Pelodiscus sinensis: one gene and its partner. The protein of the gene in region 1 interacts with the protein of each later gene in a pairwise test. Links are inferred from orthologs where the notes say so. Each region holds a gene or a part of one and is shown on either strand. Other genes may lie near its edges. The genes, in order: CLK4 and UBL5.

Region 1 (9,871 bases):
TTTCAACAAACATTCAATAGCCATTAGTCAGACACATGAATGATCACAACTAGGAAAGGAGCAAGGTATGGAACTGAAGTGTCTGTTACGTATTAAAAGATAGACATCAGTTGTACTGTCATGTTTATCTATTATATTTAAATAATCGTGTACATTACTTCAGTTCTCAAACTGGCTGTAAAATAGCTATTTGACCATACTGTGACATTTATACTGTGAAGCAAGAAAGGTGCTTGCAATCATTTCCACACCAGAATTTAGAGAAAGTAGGTAACCTACCTACTGGCCAAAGGATATTGCCAATAGAACAAAGTCTTCGATAAAATAGTACTAATGATAAATATTTTCCTTAGTGCTACCTGTTTACTGCGTACCTAAAATTCTCCTCTAAGTTGTATATATACATAGGAAGAGGCTCACCTATGAACCTTTTCTATATAAAATATATCTGTCCCAGATACTTGTGGCTTAGCAATGTAAGTTCTGACATTCACTAAAGAATTTTATCACTAATCTATTAATAATAAAGTTAAAAATTACTCATACCGAATGTGAATGGTGACCAGAGCCATGACGCCTTTTATGCTTCCTTTTATGACTACTTTTCCTGCTCCGACCAGAGGATTTGCTATGGTGGTGACGGTGACTCTTTTCATAGTCTCTGTGATAATGCCTGTTGTCATATACTTCACAGAAGTCATTTCTGTATTCTTCAACATACCTCCGGTCATGATGATCTCTCTCATTTATGAATTTGTCATCCAAATAATGGCTGAAAATATATTTAAAATGAATTTTCTCCACTTTAAAAATATTCTCCACTTTAAAAATACTTGTGTTCCAACAAAATAAATATCTTTGAGTTGCTAATGCTTAAATGTACATTTATGGCATATTTATTTACGGAAGGAATTTTGCTTTACAACAATTCCCCCCTAGAAAACCGCTAGAGATTTTCAGGCTAGTTTATATGACGGAGTTGATTAAGTCATCCAATATAGATTACCTTACTTTGGAATTGTGTACGCAGAATAACCTGTACAAGTATTAAGAAATCCAAATGCAAATAGGAAATATTCATCTCAATAGAAGTACTTGGCATACTCCGCTCCAACAATTCAAATCTCTCTTTAAAACATACAAAAATCAAAAGATGAAGTGCAAGCCCAAGCTTTCTTGAATACAACAATTATCTCCTTCCCTCTCCTTAAACCACACAAGCATATAAGAGAAACTCTTAAAACCCAATTTGCCACCCTGAAGAATTTAAAATCCTGTTGTTAGTGTGCTACATTAAAACACTAAGAATCAGAGAGATTTTTGGTGCGAAGACTCTCCCTCCAGAAAATAGGGATCATGCAAGCTGCAGCACAGAAAAGAGAATCTCATGGTACTGCACATCCACTCCTACCATTTTAGAAGCAAACTGATGAGTTCTTTAAAATATGGTCTTCCTTTCTCAAAGGAAGGACACAGAAGACCTATATCCCCTCTTAAAGGAAAAGAAAGAAAAGAAAGACACCTGAAAAATGAATGAAAGCAATCTAACCCATACTTACCCTTCTATAAAATGTTCTAAGAGAGCAAACATTCACCTTCTTCCTCCATCCTCTTACACACGAGAAACATTTTATTAAAATTTAATACTGCATATTGTATTTCAATATAAATCCTTACCAGGCAGATTTTCACAGAAACAGATTGGATGTTAATATTTTGTATCAAAGAATCACAACTAAACAATTTAATCACTGTATCACTAAAACGATACATTACTTAAGCGTGGCAAATAATGAGCCAACTCCTAAAGGCATTAGCAAGTCTTGTCTTCTCAAAACAATTTTTTATTTAATTTAAATTAATCTTACTTACAATTAGAGATATCAGTATTGGTAATTCAAAGAATCTTTTACCTGTCTGAAACTTCAAGATGATGTGATTTATGGGGTTTGCTTTCTTTGTCACTGCTGTGGGACCTCTTGCGTTTATGGGGAACACTGTGACTTCCTTGATCCCAGCTCTTTCTATCATTCCACTCAGAGCAATGACTTCGTTTTGAATGTTGCATCTTTCATTGACATATTTAAAGGGGGAAAAAATGGTTCCATTTCAGTATACACAGATATGACAGTCTACTAATCTAGATTAGAGATGTGAAAGTTTAACTGCTAAACCTCACCCGCTTACTGGTTAAGGTAAACCAGTGGGAGCTGGAGCAGCTCACTATATGCCACAGGCAGGATCTACTCCAACCCTATGGTGTGCCCCCTGTGGATAGGGGCTGCTCCAGCATGGCCAGTGCAGCCTCTTCTTGCACGGGTGGAACCACAGACAAGGGGGGCCACTTCAGCCAACCCCTTTAAATGATTAACTGGATAAATAATTTGTTTAACTGGTTAACCAATTAAACAGGATTTTACATTCCTAATCCAGATTCAAGAGACGGATTCATACAGAAATCACAGTTTACCATTGCTCATTAGGGATCGTTTAATTATGTCAGGGAGAGTTCTCTCCCGCTAGCATAGAATGGCTACACTGGAGATCTTAGAGCAGTAAAGCTGCAGCAGTACAGCAGTGCTGCTGTAAGGTATGTACTATAAACATAGCCTAAGGGTAGTAAGGGCTCAGTGTTCTCAAGATATAAAAATGGTTACAGATTAAATCCTCAATCCTACATTGAGGGCTTGTTTTCACAAACAGTACTGCAGCTGTGCTGCTATAGTTCTTTAGTGAAGATACTACTATGGGGGTGGCCAATCAGTTTGACACGAAGAGCCAAAGGAGCTGTGGATAGTAGTGCAAAGAGCCACACATCCCTCCTCCAGAGCCAGGCCCCCCCAGCTTTCCCCACTCTAACTCAATGCTCTCTCCCTCTGCCAGAACCAGGCACCCCCAACCCCCTCCCATTCTAACCCAATGCCTGGGTCTCACCAGAGCTGCCATCGCCACAGCCATGCACTTCTCCCTCCAGGAACTGGGGGGGGGGGGGGGGGGGGGGGAGGGAGAGGGATATGCACAAAGTAGGCATGAGGCTCCGAACAAGCTGTAACCCTGAGAGCCACATTTCCTGTGAGCAAAGAGTGGCATGTGGCTCAAGAGCCACAGGTTGGCAATCCCTGTACTACTACAATGACAGAAGAGCTTCTTCAGTTGGCGTACATAAGGGGTTTTTAAAAATTAGGTCATGGTGGGCATGTTTGGGAAAGCCACTGGCAGGCCAAGAGACACTTTTGTTTATCTAAGCATCCATGAACACACAGTAGTTCACCCTTTCCAGCCAAGGGGAGCTGCGGGAAGCAGGAGTCCATCCTCACACTGCGAGATCTGAGCCAGGCCTTGTCCCAGTGTAGAGCAGGATCCAGCTGTTCGCCATCCTGATACATTCCAGAATCAAGTCCTGCAACCTCCACCTGCGGATCTCATCCCCTCCCGTCACCTTTGGCGATGCTCACAGGAGGTTAAAACAGGGAACCATTGCTCCAACCCGCCCACTAGCTCCCTAGGCCAATTTCAGCTACTGACATTACACAACTACTGACTCTGTACAGCTCTGAACTGCCTGTGCCAGGTCCATTACAGGCCACTGTGCTTCCGAGCAGCTGCCAGGGCAGCCAAGGAGCACTGGGGCCCCTGAAGGGGAGCAGTGGGGGCCACTGGCCCCGGGCAGGGAAGGCTCCCCTACGGATACCTGCTTCCTCTGCAGACCCCAATCTAGTCAGGATACAAGACCCTGTCTCCCTGGCAGTTCCTGGCTGTGAGAGCGAGAGGGGGGGGCCGGGAGGATCTACAGGGGAGGGGGATGGGCCGTGTGCGGGGAATGGGGGATGCAGAAGGGGATGGAACATGTGGGGGGGGGGGAGCCGTGTGTGGGGTGGGATGTGTGGGGGGGAGGGGGAAGTATGGGGGGTTCTCACAGGGGAGTAAGCTGCACAGCTGGCGGGTGTCGGGTCCACCCGTGTGAGGGCCTGGAAACGAATCACCTCCAAGCGCCCGCCCCCCCCAAAAAAAAAGCCTCAGAATCTTTCCCTCCCGCCCCAAGCTCCCCTCAGGCCGCTTCCCATCACCTCGGGCAGCCCCCCTGCCTGGCCCGCAGCGCCCGGGCTGAAGCGATAAGCGCCCCGCTTCGACCGCAGCCGGCTCGAGTCCACCACGGCGCTGGCCTCCCCCGTCCTGACAAGGGATGGGGGGGGTGTCGTCTTCGCGACTTACGGCAGGCGAGGAGCTGAGCGACACCCGTCTCCGCCCTCCTCACACAAACAAAATGGCGGCCGCGCCCAGCGCTGGAGAGTAGCGAACTACGGCTCCCCCGCCCGCCCGTGCGCGATGGCGTCACACGCAGCCCGCTAGGGCCACAACGGGACTCCGCCCCTCAGCGGCCGCAGCGACTAGGGAGCAGGGAGACGCTGAGACTCCGCCCCCTGCTGGCGGGTGAGGGAGGCGCTACGGCCCCGCCCCTTGGGGGGGGGGGAGAGGAGACACTGAGACGTGACCTCTGTTTGGGGGTCCTCTAAGGATCCCGCCCTGTGAGGGCGGGGCGGGGTAGAGGGAGGCTGTGGAAAGCACAGAGCTGCCCATAGGCCCCTGCACTCAAGGGTCTTTTATGCACCTGACTCCCATGGATTTAGGTGCCCAAAAAACTCAGGAGCTGGTTGGGGGGGGGGGGGCTGAGCACGCCCTACTGCTAGGGTGACCCGATGCCCCCTTTTTAAAGGGACTGTCCCATATTTAAGCCTTCCTGTAGGTGTCCCAACTTTCTCCCAACAACAGGCAGATTGTCCTGCATTTTGTCTCCCTCCCCACTCAGTCCTGGCGGGTCCTACTGCTGGCCACATCCCCTCCCACCGCTAGTGAGTGCGGGAGTGCAGTGCCAACGATGGTGGTGTGGGGTGTGTGCGAACGCACACGAGGCTGGTGGCGGGGCCAAGCTGCAGCGTGTGGGGCCCGCCACTCCCTCGGCTGGTCCCATCAGCACAGCGCCCACTGGGTGTCAACTCTCGGACATCAGGGTCTTTTCCCCCATCCTGTTTCTGCCTGGCACAGGCTGTAGCTGCAAGCTGTGGAGGATGATGAGCGCAGGTAGACGTCAGGTGGTGGCTGGCTCTGTGTTGCCACTCCTGCCCACCTACCAGCCCTTTATGTGCTCCCCCTTTCACTGTTCTCTCCCTGCTTCACCCCTTCATTGTCTCCTAGGCCCATGGCTCCTTCATATGCTCCCGTCAGGGCATCTCCTGCTCTCAGCTCTGTGCACAGAACCAGCTCCAAGTTGGAGCGCTCAGCTCCAAGTTGGAGCGCTCAGCTCCCCAACCGCCTGGTCAGCAGGCTCCTTCCTTCCCCCACTGCCTCTGGCTGGGTCAGGCCCTGGGGAAGCCCACGACTCACAGCATGATAAAGCCCCACATAGCGCGGGAACTGGCCACTCTCTGCTTTTGAGCTAAGCTCTGGAATGGAGGAGAAAAAACAATTTCCAGCCTGTTTGTGCCCCCACCTAGACCCTGGAAAATGGGCTTTAGTACCTCTTCATCTGTTCTCAGACCCTGGGTCCTGCCTGCAGGGAGCGTAGGGCTGCTCTGTCCCCTGGGCACCTTCCCCAGCTGATCCACCGCTCACGCCCAGTTCGCTGAACTTTCTGAAATCTGGTTTCCTGGGCCCTGGCGCATGAGGCATCCTTAGGGTTTAACTCCTTCCTACGTGTGCTGTAGCTGAGGGACAGGAGGTAGGTAGGTTATGTCAGTGGCCAGCAGTAGCCTGGAGGTGTTGGTTGCCTTTCTACATTGTGTGGGCAGGAAGGGGCAAGCTACTTCCAGCTATTGGTGAGCAGAGGGGAGAAGGGGAAGAGATGGACTCTGCAGACAAGGGCCAGCTCTCCCCTCCCTCCCCCCCCCCCCCCCCCCAATCCCTCTGGTAGCTTGAAGCAGCTCCCATTTCTTCCCTTCGGCACAGTGCTAAAAAGCTGCTGCTGGCCATATTCTGTTGTGAACCCTGGCAGAAATCATGTGATATACAAACATGTGATGAAAGACGCAGCACCACATACCAAGAGAGGCGGGTCTCTCCTGGGGCCAAGCCAGGTTTGGAGGGTGGAGAACACCAGGGAGGTAGGGTTGAGTCATCCCCGCATTTGTTAGAGAGGTATAGGGGAATATTTGTGTCACCTCTGTGTCTGTATGGGGGGTGTGTATCACCTCTTCATGAATGAATCCTAAAGCCTTAAAGATAAGATGTTAAATAGACTCTAGCTACACAGTATTTCTTTTCAACAGAGGCTCTGTGAACTTGATGTTAATGTGAACGTTTGCACTGCATAGTTCTGATTGATTGCCATTGAACTTGCTTGCATATGAATAATTGTATTAGGTGTCCCATATTTGGTATAAGGAAATATGGTTTTCATGCCTACTGCACTCAGTTTCTCACAGCCCTGCACTTCCAGTCCCTCTCCTTGCCCCTTGGTGGCTGGCCTGTGGAGGAGTCTGATTTCTGATGGAAAACAACCCTCTTAGGAAGGACATGAGAATATGAATACTGTGATATCTGCACACACAGAGCAGCTGTTACTAACCATACTGGTGAATAATATAGTAATGTCCTTGTTGCTCCTGACCCAGGATTTCATGAGGTCCTATGCTTTTAGTTGTGCAGGGGAGGAATGCTTGCATCTCCTACAGAGTGTTTAGCATCTTCACTGTCTCTCTCAGCAGACCTACCTGCATAGCATACGGTCCATTCTGTCTAGGCTACTTTCTTTTGAAGGCTCATTTGTCAATTCGCACCTCCCACTGGGAGAAAAGAGCTTTTGCTGTTTTGCAGAGAATTTTGTGCAGGCTTCATACCTAGCAATCTGCTGTGACAGTAGAGCAGGACCCTGAGTGGATGGCTGCTAGATCAGTGCTAGAACCTACTCTGGTGGTGTTCTGTGAAGTTCTTGATGTCTTAGAGGAATTTTATACCACAGACCTTTCATTGGACTCATGCCTTACCTGGTGGGTGATGGCTACTGGGAAAACTTTGCGTCCTTTTCTGATGGAGAGTTTCATGACCTCCTTTAAGAATAGTCATCCTGATCTTCCATTTCTGGCGAGAACTTTGAAGCAGCAGGTTACATAGACACCTCTGAGCTTCGCCAGCTTTGTCACTCTGGCTTCAGAACAGGTTACAGCACCTGAGACAGGTCTGGTCAATGAACTTCTGGCAATAGCTAAAGATCAGATACCGCTATTAATTGATCTACCACATATTAGTCATGGAGTGCTGTTACCTCCATTGGAGACTGGCTGAAGAGCAGACCTGATTGCCATGTGGTGGCTTCATTCTCTCCATATAAGAAATCCCAGAAAGTAGTTTTAGATATTTTGTTTTTCTCTCCTGAGGGTACCACACAGGACCCTACCACATCATTCCTCCCCTTCAGTATATAGGATCATTGGAGGGTGAGGGAATTGGGGAGGCGACGTGGGATGGAATCTCATATTTTCTATATGCTGATGATATTCAGCTTCATCCCTCCATTTTGTATGACTCAGAGTGCAGTTTAGTTCCATTTTCAACATATGAGTATGGATGAGGGTGAGCTGGCGAAGGTTCCATCCTTGAGAAGACTGAGGTGATGATGGTGAGCTAAGGGAGATCATCAGAAGATAAGGCAAAGATTATACCTGTCCTGTGGACTGAGGTTCTGAGACCCTAAATGCATCCTAGTTCCAGAGGACAAAGGGCTAACTGGTACTGTATCAGGTAATGGGTTTCAGCTGTCCTGGTCAATTCGGTGCACCTCTCAATTCAGCATGTCTGTGATCTGTATCTAAAGATGTTCTGTAATTCCACCCTGGGAAACTGATAATTCACTAATCTTAAATACACTTGCATGATATATGTATGCATGAGTTATAGATATATCTCTAGATCTCTGTCTCTTGCCTAGCATCAGTAGCTAATCTATTAACATCGTTGTCAAATTTTATAATGAATTGTACAGTCTAGAAATTGTTTCTCGCTGTTTATGAATACATCCTCAATGCCTCATAACAAAATGACCAAGCATTACACTCACTTTGTTCTTTAGGTGATTTGTATTCCCTGTGAAAGCTGAAGAAAGTTTCTCCCTGTTTCTGAATTCTTCTGTGGCAATCTGGTGTCTCAGTTGACTAATTGTATTATCATGGACAGACTTAAACAAACAGCTAACAGTTTGTACTAGGGGTGTTTCTCCTACGCAACACCACAAGGCCTTGCAAAAATATTTAATACAATTGATTTGCTGTCTAAGCCAGAAAGCTGCAACCATAGGCAAATTGATTGGAGCTCTAAAAAGAGAAACTATACATCACTCAGCAAACGTGAATCACTGAGACCACCTATTTCTTATTCCTGATGGGGTCAAAGATCTATGGATCAGTGTGATTGATTTCAATGAGACTACTTGCAGAATCAATGAGGCAGAGTGGCAGATTTTGCTTCCGTATAACTTGTTATAGATTAGCTCAGTATTGACCAATAGACAAGCGAGAGCTGTGGGCACATGGAATTTTCTATAATGAATGACATTTGGTAACCTGCATCCAGCACCGATGTCTCAGAGACAAGCAAATCCTTGGTATGGTGCATCTGGCCACATGTACTGATCTGGGCACTGGACAATTTTCTTCCAGGCTCCTGTGATGCACAACATACACACAGCAATGCAATTTGAGGAACTCCAACCAACACAGTTTTGTTAAAGAAAAAATACACAACAATTAAAGGCAGCAAGGACAAATGATGGGAAACTAGACCTGGATTGTCATTCCAACACGTCAGTATTCAAACTCACTTATTTACAGTAGCTTTTCTAAGGGGATCTCTGAAAGTAAATCTCAAAACTGGACCTATTTCGGGTTCTCTGATGTAGTGCCTCTGCCACGGAGCACTTTGTGGACATATCATCCTTGGCAATGCCAGGTTAGCAAGACATCACATTCTGGGATTTGCTTCCCGGGAGCGTCTCCTTCTCAAACTAGTACTGAACCACTAAGGCGTAGCATGGCTTTTGCTAGAACAGAGACTGTATACCTAAAGTCAAACATGGCCATTAGTGCACAGCTGATTTCTCTACTTTGTAGTGTACGTGTACGATTGATTTCTCACTTTTACCCCTGCCAAATATTAGTGAATAGACATGCATGTATTATGGACAGCATGGCAGTGCAGCTTTGGGCAAACTGTTTCATGAAGATTTCCTTGGACGATTTCTTGACAATAAGGCTTTAAACACAGATTCCATCAAACCAAAAACCCCATTTCTCCTTTTGTTTCTCAGTATGAAGCGGAACTAAGGTTAGACATGGATGGATCATTAATTATTAGTATTTGTTACCACTGCAACAATCTAAGAACATAAGAATGGCCAGACTGGGTCAGACCAAAGGTCCATCTAGCCTAATATCCTGTCTGCCGACAGTGCCTAATGACAGGTGCCCCAGAGGGAAATGAACAAAACAGGGAATCTTCACGTGATCCACCCTCTGTCATCCATTCCCAGTGTCTGACATATTAGAGACACCATTCCTACGCATCCTGGCTAATAGCCATTGATAGACCCATCCTCCGTGAATTTATCTAGTACTTTTTTGAACCCTGTTAAAGTCACAACATCCTCTGGCCTGGTGTTCTACTGATTGAGTGTGCATTGCATGAATGAATCCTTTGGTTTGTTTTAATCCTGCTACCTGTTAGTTTCATTTGGTGACCCCTAGTTCTTGTGTTAAGGGAACGAGTAAATAACGTTTCCTTATTCACTTTCACCACACCAGTCATGATTTTATAGACCTCTGTCATATTCCCTCTTACCCTCCTCTTTTCTCAGATGAAATGTCACAGTCTTATTAACTCTTCT
Region 2 (10,188 bases), on another chromosome or scaffold:
AGCTCGGATGAATGGACTATATTGTGGATAGAAATATGGCTAGATTGTTAGGCTCAACATCTAATTGGCAGCCAGTATCAAGCAGAGTGCCCCAAGGGATAGTCCTAAGGCCATTAATGATCTGGACGAGGGGATGGATTGCACCCTCAGCAAGTTCACGGATAACACTAAGATGGTGGGGAGAGGTAGATATGCTAGAAGGCAGGGAGACAGTCCAGAGTCGCCCAGACAAATTGGAGGATTGGGCCAAAAGAAATCTGATAAGAGTCAACAAGGACAAGTGTAGAGTCCCACACTCAAGATAGAAATTCCAATGCAATGATACCAGCTGGGGACAGATGGGCTAAGCAGCAATACTGCAGAAAAGGACCTGGGGACTGCAGTGGACAAGAAGCTTAGATGCATCAACAGCGCACTCTTGTTGCCAAGAAGGCAAATGGCATATTGGGTTCATTAGTAGGAACATTGCCAGCAGATCTAGGGAAGTGATCATTCCCCTTTATTCCGCATTGGTGAGGCCACATCAGAAGTTTTGCATCCAGGTGACTTTTTGCTCTCCCTATTATATGTGCAATTTCATATCACATTTAACTCTCAAATAATAGCTTGTTGTACAAACTAGAGATGAGATCTTGCAGTTTGATGTTAGAAGTGGTATCACATATTACTACTAGCAGGTAAATGTTTTCCCCAAAATACACTAGGAAGCATATTTCCAAATGTTAAACATAATTTCTAGTCCTAGTAAATGTCTTACGTTGAGGATAAAAAGCATCATGGGATACAGGTTACACATTTGGTGATTAGCTTGGCTTCTGTTTTTTGTTTTGTAAACTGCTGGGTGATCTGATTGCTCTTGTTTCATTTTGTCAGGGCTTCTAGAACAGAGAAGCAGGAAGGAACTTTATTGATGCACAAATAAAAAAGGCTCAAAGAGATGAATAACTAAAAGTTAGTAGAAAAGGCAAGATGTCACTACAGGCAAAATAGAAGAAAGTGAAGCACCAGGTGTCTGAGAAAGGATGTCACAAAAATGCAAGTCCATCCAGCAGATGGAGCAGCTACAAACAATGAGACAGGAATTCAAGAGATTAGTTCAGGTTGTGCAGGAAAACGTATCAGGTTCCTTATCCCAGTACAGGTTACAGGGTGGGTTTAGTGCAAAAGGAGCCTGGAAAAGGGTGACAAGGGAATAAATATAACAGCTTTGAGAGAAGTTGTATCAGACAGACTTTCCATGGAAACCGGAGACTGCATGGGTTAAGAATGAAGGTATTCGGAAGGCTATTACTGCTATTCCTATTACTTGTTGAAGCATTTTTTTTAATCAATTGCTCTTCTTTCACTCTTAGAAACAAGTGTGTGATGGGAGAGTTGGTCGTATTTTCCTGCCCAGATCATAGCTTAACCACAGTACTATGCAAAATTTCTTTTAAAAATTAAAAAAAAAATCTAACTTGAATATGACAGATACAAACCCGAAGCAAATGTGCTGCTTACTCTAACTAGAAGAGAGTCCCTCTGAGCAGATGGATGGAGAGTGCTACAGTATTATTCTGATTCCAGAAAGTTAAATGGGGTCTAAAGCCCACTGCTTTCCAACAGCTGCATTAATTTGGGCTGCTATGTCAGTTAAAGAAGAGATTTCTTCTGACAAATCCAGGAGCAGGATACAAAAGTTATCAGGAAACTTTTATTGCAAACATTTTTTAAAAATAAAACAGCCTTCTTACAAGTTTGCAGCCACTTTTATAGCCATCAAAACTGAAGATATCTGATAAAACTGAATGCACAACTTGAGCTTCTAATTTTTACCTTACATGAAATAAAGTTTATAGACAAGTTTTATAGCAGAAAAAAAATGTAGAAAAGTGATGCCTGCCATTTGTAACTGCAGCTAGACTCAAGACTACTGATAATATAACTCCAGGTTCATGCCATCATGGATTTCATCTGAAAGGAATGAGTTAAGGGGAATTCCACAGGAAATGCTCAAACGGTAGGTGACATTAGGTTTCTCCCTGGTCAATAATTCAAAATAAATTACAACAGCAAGTTTATTCTTTGATACATTAGACAAATTCTCACATAATTCTCCTTCCCACTTTGTGTGTTTCTATCGCAAATTGATAAAATAAATTGCTAGTGTCATGCAAGGGAACATGGGTCATATGCAATACTGGAAGCTTCAATACCATAACTCAGCAAATGAGTCCCATGTCACAGGCTACCCACTCAATTTAGTAAGGGACTTTTTCCCAGAGGTCCACCAGTTATCTTATGGTAGCCTACCAATACCATCAGTCACTAGTACCCAAAGAGACAAATGAGACCTTTGGTTTATAACAAGCAACTACGTCAGATTAGGAAGTGTCTCTGTTTAGCTATGTATTTATAATATGTCCATCGCTCCACTTCATAGGTTGTGGATCTTTTAAGTGACTAGAAGAACTACCCTGAATTGCTCAGGTCCTTTATTAATTTTTGGTATCTTTGGAAAACCAAGTTCTTCTGCCTCCTGTGCTTCCCAGGCAGCAAGAGAAAGTGCACAATGCTCCCTTACGAATTGGGGAAGATCTTCAGCCCCCCTCCCCTTACCAAAGGGTGCCTGGAAGATGGGAGGCTCAAGACTAGTAAAGTCCTTGACACAGGGTAGGGAGGGGCTGGGCCTGTGTACGCATGTACCTCCAGCCAGCCCCTTCACCAGGCAGGTGAATTCAGTCTCTCTTTTGTATGGTTTTATGAGAGACAATCCCATCCCTGGCACAACCCTATTTCCTGGCACAACCAAACCCTGACCTTGGTTTGAGCTATGATAAGAGGAAGCTATATACCAAACTGGTGCTCCTAGCTCTTGAACGGACAGACTGATTTATAACCAGACAAACTGAAACATATGGCAGATAAAGAACACAACCGTTATTTTAATTAGACAAAGGCTTTCCCCAAAAGCTGCAGTTTACACACACAAGTCTAATGTTCAAGGATACAGTCTCCCAGTGACACATGGTCTTTGAAGATTGTGTACCTGCACAAATGTGTCAAAAAGAAAGTTAGTCAAGAATAAAAGTGTAATACAAGAACAAAAGAAAGTATAGTCAATAGTAATGGAATAATTAGGATAGTATCCAGAGTCTTGCTGTTATCAGTTACAATAGAAAATCATAGAGGCAATGCTTTAACAGATGCCAATCACAGGTTCTGCGGGGAGAAGGATGACACTGCCAACGTGCAGTTACAATGTGACTTGTATAGTAATTTCACACATATTGAAGTTAGAACCACCATACTAGGTCAGACCAAAGATCCATCTAGCTCAGTATCTTGTCTTCTGACAATGAACAATGGCAGGTACTTCAGAGAGAATGAAGAGAACAGGTAACAATGAAGTGTTAGAGGAACAGTAAAAAATTATGTAAAAAGACAGAGAATCAAACAAAAATTCTGAATTGAATGTCACTGCTGGTGAGAGTATGAAGGAAAACTAACTAGCGTTTCTGGAATAATTTGTAGTTATGTACACTTTTATTTTATAAGGCTGCTGCCCTTCCTTTGAGAATTTAAGTGAAAGATTTATCAGTGGAGCTCCCAAGAACACTGAACAATAGAACAGGGAAGGTACAGAATGTGAAACGTCTGAGAATTAAATTCAGAACCTAAAAGGAAATCTTAAATGAATACATACTGGAAGTCTGCAGCTACATGCCATCACCATTTCCCCTTCGCTGCTGCAGGTCCTTGGGATGCAGTGTCCCAGCCTTCATTACCTCAAATGCAGCTACGTTGCAGTATATGTGGTGGGACGGGTGTGGACTGTAGCTGAAGGCCATATCAGTCATCCACATATAGGGAAGCGTACAGAACTCAGTTTACCTGCCTTGGGAGACTTTCCATGGGGCTGAAACTATTGCACCACAGAGTCCAACTACATCGAGCCTGATGCGCCTGAGAACTGCTAAGCCACTTTCCTTCCTTTGCCTCTGCATTTCACCCACTTACCATTTCTTCAGCACGATTTTGTCCCACCGGGTGCCAGTTTGAGCTGCAATGAGTTTCTTTAGGTCGCCGATCGTGTCCTCAGTGCTGAGTGACTGGGTTAAGGAAACTACATTCAAACCCACGGAACAAGCCCCCGGAGAGAGCAGGACTGGCTGGGCCAGAACCCCTCCCGAAGGAGCGAGACGTTTATGGTCGCCTTGCCCGGGGGCGGGGTCCCAGACTCCCACCAGCTCGGGGCCCTCCCCGCGGGCCGCCCCTCACTCCGGGCCGGATACTTGCACTTGACTCGCACCTTCTTGCCCAGCCGGTCGTTGCAGACAACCTCGATCATCCTGCCGGCCTGGGGAGCGAGAGGCGTTAGCAGCGGCCCCCCTACGGCGCAGGGAGGGGGCCCGGGGCGACCCCGCCGTGTGGGACCGGCGCCGGGGGAGGGAATGGCCGCCCACGTGTGGGAACCCTGCGGGGGCGGGGCTCGCTATGAGGCCGAACGGGGAGTCCCGGGCTCGCCCCGCCCCCGCCCGCACTCACCGCCGCAGCTCGCACCGGCCCGCGGGTACCTAGGAGAGCGCCGCGGACAGTGAACCGGAAGCGGAAGAGCCCTGCAAACGGAAAGCGAGTGAGGCCGAACGGAACCGGAAGTGCTCTGCCAGCGGAAGTAAGTGGGAACCGGAAGCGGAAGTGCTTGGCGATGGCCGCAGCACTGAGTCTGGGGGCGCTCCCCGATTTCCTGCTAGTGGAGATTCTGTCGCTGCTGCCGCTGCGCGATCGGCTGCGCGGGGCCAGGTGACGGCGCGGGACCCCCCCCCCCCCGAGCGGCTCCGTCCGGCCCCGCGGGCCCCCCCCCCCCGAGCGGCTCCGTCCAGCTCCGCGGGACCCCCCCCCCCGAGCGGCTCCGTCCGGCCCCGCGGGGACCCTCCCCCCCCCGAGCGGCTCCGTCCGGCCCCGCGGGGACCCTCCCCCCCCCGAGCGGCTCCGTCCGGCCCCGCGGGACCCCCCCCCCCCCCGAGCGGCTCCGTCCGGCCCCGGGAACGCCCCCCCCCCCCTTCAGCCCCACAGGAATCACCCTCCCTCCCCCCCAGCAGCTCCATCCACTCCCACGGGAGTCCCTCCCTCCTGAGTGGTTATAGCGAGATCTCCTCTTCATTCCGCCATGGGAAACACCCCCGCAAGTGTCTCCATTCAGCCGCAGTCCCCATAATTCTTGCCTGCTCCCATGATGGGATTTCTCCTAGTTGTGTACATGCCCCTGGAAGGGGAGTGGGTCATTCATGCCTCCCGGATGGATACTCTCTGCCCTCCCCGGGCATGTGCATACACACAACTGAGCATGCGGGCTGCTGCCGGGATCATAACCTGCACTGCTTCTGTCCCCGTAGGGTCTGCAAACGCTGGCACAGGCTGGTGCAGGACAAGATGCTCTGGAGATATGTGGATTTAACACCATACCAGGTACCAGTCCAGCTGCATGCCTCCTACTCAAAACCACTCTACAGGGCTGATAAATTCTGTCCTGGGGAAATGGCAGAGGGGCCTTTGTGGCTCAAATACCTGCACTTGGGATCCAACATGAGAGATGGTGAAGAAAAGGAGGACTAGGAGAGATACAGTTAAGATATTTCAGGGGCATGGGGGGAGGAGGAGTGATGTACAGGAGCCTAGTGTTGGACAGAAAGGTTGACCAGTCTCTGAAGGGCATTTTTAAAACCAGAAGGGTTGCTGAAAGCAAGTTCCTGAAACCAGGGGTGGTGTCTGAGGAGGGAGGGTATGTGTGTGTGTGTGTGTGTGTGTGTGTGTGTGTGTGTAGCAAAAGGCAGCATCAGTATCTGATACATGCTAGAGTTTGAAGAGCAGGGACTGAGGTTGCTCGTAGGTAAAGGAGCATCAGTAGTCAGGGTAAGAGGCAATATAGTGTAGGATAGTGCCTGTGGTTTACCCTACCAGTGTCAAGTACCTTTTTAAACATATTTAAAGAAGAGCAGGATGGGCCTTTCTTTGCTCATTTATTGCTTTCTAGGGATGTTAAATATTGGTTAATTGAATATTCTATTAACCTCATGAATTCTTATTGGTTGCTCGACTATTCTGTAGTCCCTGGGGGTGGGGCCGTCCATCAGTGCCCTCCGGCCCCACTCCTGAGGAGCCCCCTGCCACTTCATGCTGCTGCCTCTGTATCAGAGACAGCAGTGTGGGTTAGCAGCAGTCCCTGTCCCAGGGGGATGGGGAGGGGTGGTCCAGAGCTCCCGGACCCAGCACGAGCCGGAACTGAGCTGGGCTGCCTGCCCACCTGGCTCCTAATGCACTTCAAATGCAGAGCTGCAGCGGGGTAGGTCCCAGACCTGGTGTAAGCCGGGCTGCTAGCCAGCCTGCTAAAAACTGTACTGGCAAGAAGGGTGGGGAGAATACATGTCCTCTATAACATTAATCAATATGCTTTTGCTTATTGGTTAATCGACTACACTATTACGTCCCTAGTGCTTCCGTAGCATTTTTTCCATTTCTTGTCAAGGTGCCAAGTGCTTTCTTGCTGCTCTCTTGTGCTCAGATCAGCTCCAGGATCTTGTGGCACCTGCTGCGGCAGCACCTGCGCAATGGCCTGAGGATACTGAAAGCGAGAGGAGCTCTGTGCTCAATGAGAAAACAAAGATTCCTTTCCCCCGCGCTGCTGCAGGCACTTGGGACGCAGTGCCCCAGCCTCCATCACCTGTGCCTGACAGAGGCCGACCTCCGTCTGCTCCCATATGACTGTATGCCAACTTCTCTGAGGACCTTGGAGCTGAGCCAGTGTGAGATCCCTGCTGTGTGGTTCCAAAGATCTGCACCTCCTGAGGCTCCCAGAGTCCTGCTGCAACTGCAGCATCTCATCATCCATAACGTTCCTGCTTTTTCTGATCAGCATCTGTTCAACATCTCATCTCAGAGCAGCTTGAGGACATTGAGCCTCTCTGGAACCTACCGGCTGACCGACGCTGGGATTCAGAGAGCAGCACCGCATTTGGAAGACCTGGAGTGTCTGGTGCTGCACAAATGTGTCATTACAGATGCTGCTGTTCACTTCATCAGACGTCACATGAAACAACTCCGCTCTTTGGAAATCAGCAGTGCTTGCTCCCTAACAGATGCAGGCTTGGCTTGTATAGCAGACTTGAAGTGCTTAGAAACCCTCTGTCTTGCATTCAGCCGTAAGCTGTCTCCTAACGCCATTGTTGCTGTGTGCCAGGCACTGCCCCAGTTAAAACATCTCCATCTAGATGGGATTGACTTGGAAGACCAGACAATACAGAAAATTCAGGCGAGTTTGCCCAACTGCAGTTTCTAATGTGCTCCCTGACATGCGTTCCAAGTGGCGAACTACGTGAAACGCACGAGGGTGAGCTGTGGGATATTCACCCCGACATAACATCCAGAATTGCTTCGTATGGGCAGGTTCGTACCCCCCAAAGTACTTGCAGGCGGAATTTTCTCTAGCTAAAACAGTGAGGTGAGCAGTGTCGAGTGAGGACTAGCCTGATAGCTTGTATCACCTAAAGACAGGCAGCAGAAATTCTTTTCTGTGCTCTGCTTGGCTGAAGTGACCCCCACACCTCCTGCTAAGAAAATAGCCAGGCCAGGTAGATGGACAGCCTGTGTGGTCCAATGGCCCGATGAGCTGATTTGGATTGGAGACAGTTTGGCAGCGGGAGGAGGGGGAGGGGTTCTCTTTAGTTTAACCCTGTCTCACATTAAACCTCACACAATAGCTGAGCTATCTCCAAGCACAAGAGAGTAAGTCAGCCGTCTCCTGAAACACAAAAGGGTTTGGTTGCCCAAATTTGGACTCGATAAAATTTAACCCAGGTCAAAAGGCATCTCCACATTGCTGTGCTATGAGCACACTCCTAACCATGCCTAATAGGAAGTGGATCAAGGATTATACAAACATGTTTATAACAGAATGAACCTTCTTACAGGCGTGGAACAAGCGGAAAGAACCTGGCATGTTCATTTTCCAAACAGACTCCAGCCGAGTACCTCATAGTGTGGTGCATAGGTGACTGTGGTTGTGTCTTGTCCTGTAGGATGGAGTGGCAGGGGTTCTGCTGTGGCCCAGGAGGATGCCTGGAAGGAGTGTAGGGAGCACCCAGAATGCAGTTGTCTGCAGGAGGGGGGGGCGAGCATGCACCTGCTTAACCTGAAGTTTTGTCAGAGACCACAGCATGCCTGTCTGCTCCCTGAGCGGCACCATCATCCTTATCTACCTGTTTATCCTGTCCTCGCTATCCCTCTGCGTTCTGTCCCGAGTGTCACCCGGCAAGCCTGGAATCGGACACAGCGGAGCCTTACAGGCCCTCCTGCTACATGTCTTCCCTTGTCCTCTTTCTCCTGCTATTTGAAGGACTGCTCTACTGGTGTGGACGGAGAGGCCTTCAGTGCCACACTTGCAGCTGCAAAAGAACCAAGGGACAGAAGTACTATTGTGAGTATCCCCACCAGTTACAAGTACAATGTTCTCTTTCCTTGGGATCCGTAGAGCTGGGCTGCAGGGCCACCTCATGGGACAGGGTGAGGCAGGACAGTGTCAGGCATCGGTGTAAGCAGATGGGGCAGTTGAAACTTCACTGGCTCCCACAGGCAGTGGAGTGTTAGCAGATACCTTGCTCCTGCAGGTAACGGAGGCAGAAAGGAATAGCCCCTGCATGCGTTCAGCTGCTGACCTGGTCTGTATGCAGTTAGCCTGTGTGCTGCAATGATGCCTACTGCATTAATTGTGCAGTGGCATGGGAAAGTGACCTACTATGGTGAAGGAAGTAGGGCAGCCGCCTCCCCCCCAGGCAGCCTTCGGCAGGGTTTGTAGACTGCTTCCTGAGAGCGCTATGGAGGGTGCAGGGGACATCCTGGTGCTGCATGGCCTCTGCCTAGCTGTCCAGGGAGTGAGGCAGATGGCATCTCTTTCACTAACGGTTATTTCACTGTCTCATCTAGCCTGTTTGAAAACATGATATGTGACCAGATGCGTCCCTGCAATACTGAAGCAAATGTCCTTACCAGAGGTTCTTTCCCCTGCATAAGACTTGCTGATGCTGGATCCTAGGGACTGGCTTGACAGCTCCCATGTGGGGAAGAGGTCTGGGCTCACCACTCCACCGTCCCCCACGCCCCTCTCCCTCATTCGTCCAGTCAGGATTCACTGCAGCAGTCATGACTCCAACTTCTCAGAAGTATCTGCAGGGCCCAGGGGGTGGGGAGGAGTCACCGCTGAGGATGCCATGCAGCTCCTTGTAGAAGCAGCATGTTTGCACCTGGGCATCACAGTAACTTTGCCTCCTATGCCTTCTGGTGAGCCTGCTGTAGTTCCTAGGTTTTCATGTTGCACTGCTGCATTTCCCTGTTATACCCCTTTTCCATCATGTCCCTGAGTCTCCCTGGCCAGGGAGATCCATGTTTCTGTGCCTGGAGCGGCGCTGTGCCTGCACAGACCCAGGAGAGCCATCATATCTCGTGTGCTCAAGTCAGGGCATGTTTGCTGCATGCAACCAGTATGGTCGGCTGGGCCGATTCAAGGCGAGTCTCCCTCCTGAGCAAACAGGAGATGGAAATTCCAAAATTCACAGGGCTTTAAAGGGCGAGGGGCATTGGACAGTGGAGTTCAAAACAGTGACCAGAGCAGTCGTCGTGTAGCATTGTGAGACATCTCCTGGAGCCATCAAAAGTAACAAGTAACACGGTGTCTGTGCCCACGCTGCATCATTGTAACTATTGTCAACTTAAGTGTTACGCTCCTTAGTGGAGGTGGCGTTACTAAGTTCCTGTAGCAGGCAATTTACTTTGGCGGGAGCACCATTGTACTGTCGTCTGAGACAGAATTATGTCGACACAAACCACCTTGTGTTGACCTAAATCTGTAGTGTAGAAGCGGTCCAAATGTATGCAGATAATTGGAGCATAGACCTCAGGGATTATATAGTATTTGAGTAATATTAGCAGGCTGCCAGCAGCCAGATCCTGCTCCTGGTTTGTTGGGTGACATTGCTGTGCATGGCTGCTTGTGCCTTCTATAGTTTAAATGCTACCTCATCTTTCCCCGATGTTACAAAGCCCTGAGATCATGTTAGCAAATTTTGGCTGACATTAGGATGGTAGCACAGCACTGTGAAGCTTCCATTCTGGGACAGTTTTTAGATCTGCGGAGTTGTTTGTAATCAAATGTAACAT

The links.
Region 2: the proteins of CLK4 (region 1) and UBL5 interact in a two-hybrid assay, tested with the Homo sapiens proteins (2 studies listed by BioGRID and IntAct). The link is inferred for Pelodiscus sinensis from reciprocal best matches to the Homo sapiens genes CLK4 and UBL5.

What each region holds. Positions count from the first base shown.
Region 1 is NC_134727.1:32,819,434-32,829,304, forward strand, and holds the start of CLK4 (dual specificity protein kinase CLK4), read right to left. Parts: upstream 4,361-9,871; 5' UTR 4,213-4,360; intron 4,207-4,212; exon of another isoform or gene 4,068-4,206; intron 2,069-4,067; coding exon 1,914-2,068; intron 773-1,913; coding exon 547-772; intron 1-546. UniProt on the Homo sapiens protein: Dual specificity kinase acting on both serine/threonine and tyrosine-containing substrates.
Region 2 is NC_134729.1:14,651,696-14,661,883, reverse strand, and holds UBL5 (ubiquitin-like protein 5), read right to left. Parts: upstream 4,661-10,188; 5' UTR 4,528-4,660; intron 4,340-4,527; 5' UTR 4,331-4,339; coding exon 4,275-4,330; intron 4,084-4,274; coding exon 4,000-4,083; intron 3,029-3,999; coding exon 2,991-3,028; intron 1,954-2,990; coding exon 1,910-1,953; 3' UTR 1,680-1,909; downstream 1-1,679. Other genes in the region: FBXL12 (F-box/LRR-repeat protein 12), read left to right, coding at 4,688-4,782, 5,376-5,448, 6,506-7,315. UniProt on the Homo sapiens protein: Ubiquitin-like protein that plays a role in cell proliferation and sister chromatid cohesion by associating with spliceosomal proteins. Participates thereby in pre-mRNA splicing by maintaining spliceosome integrity.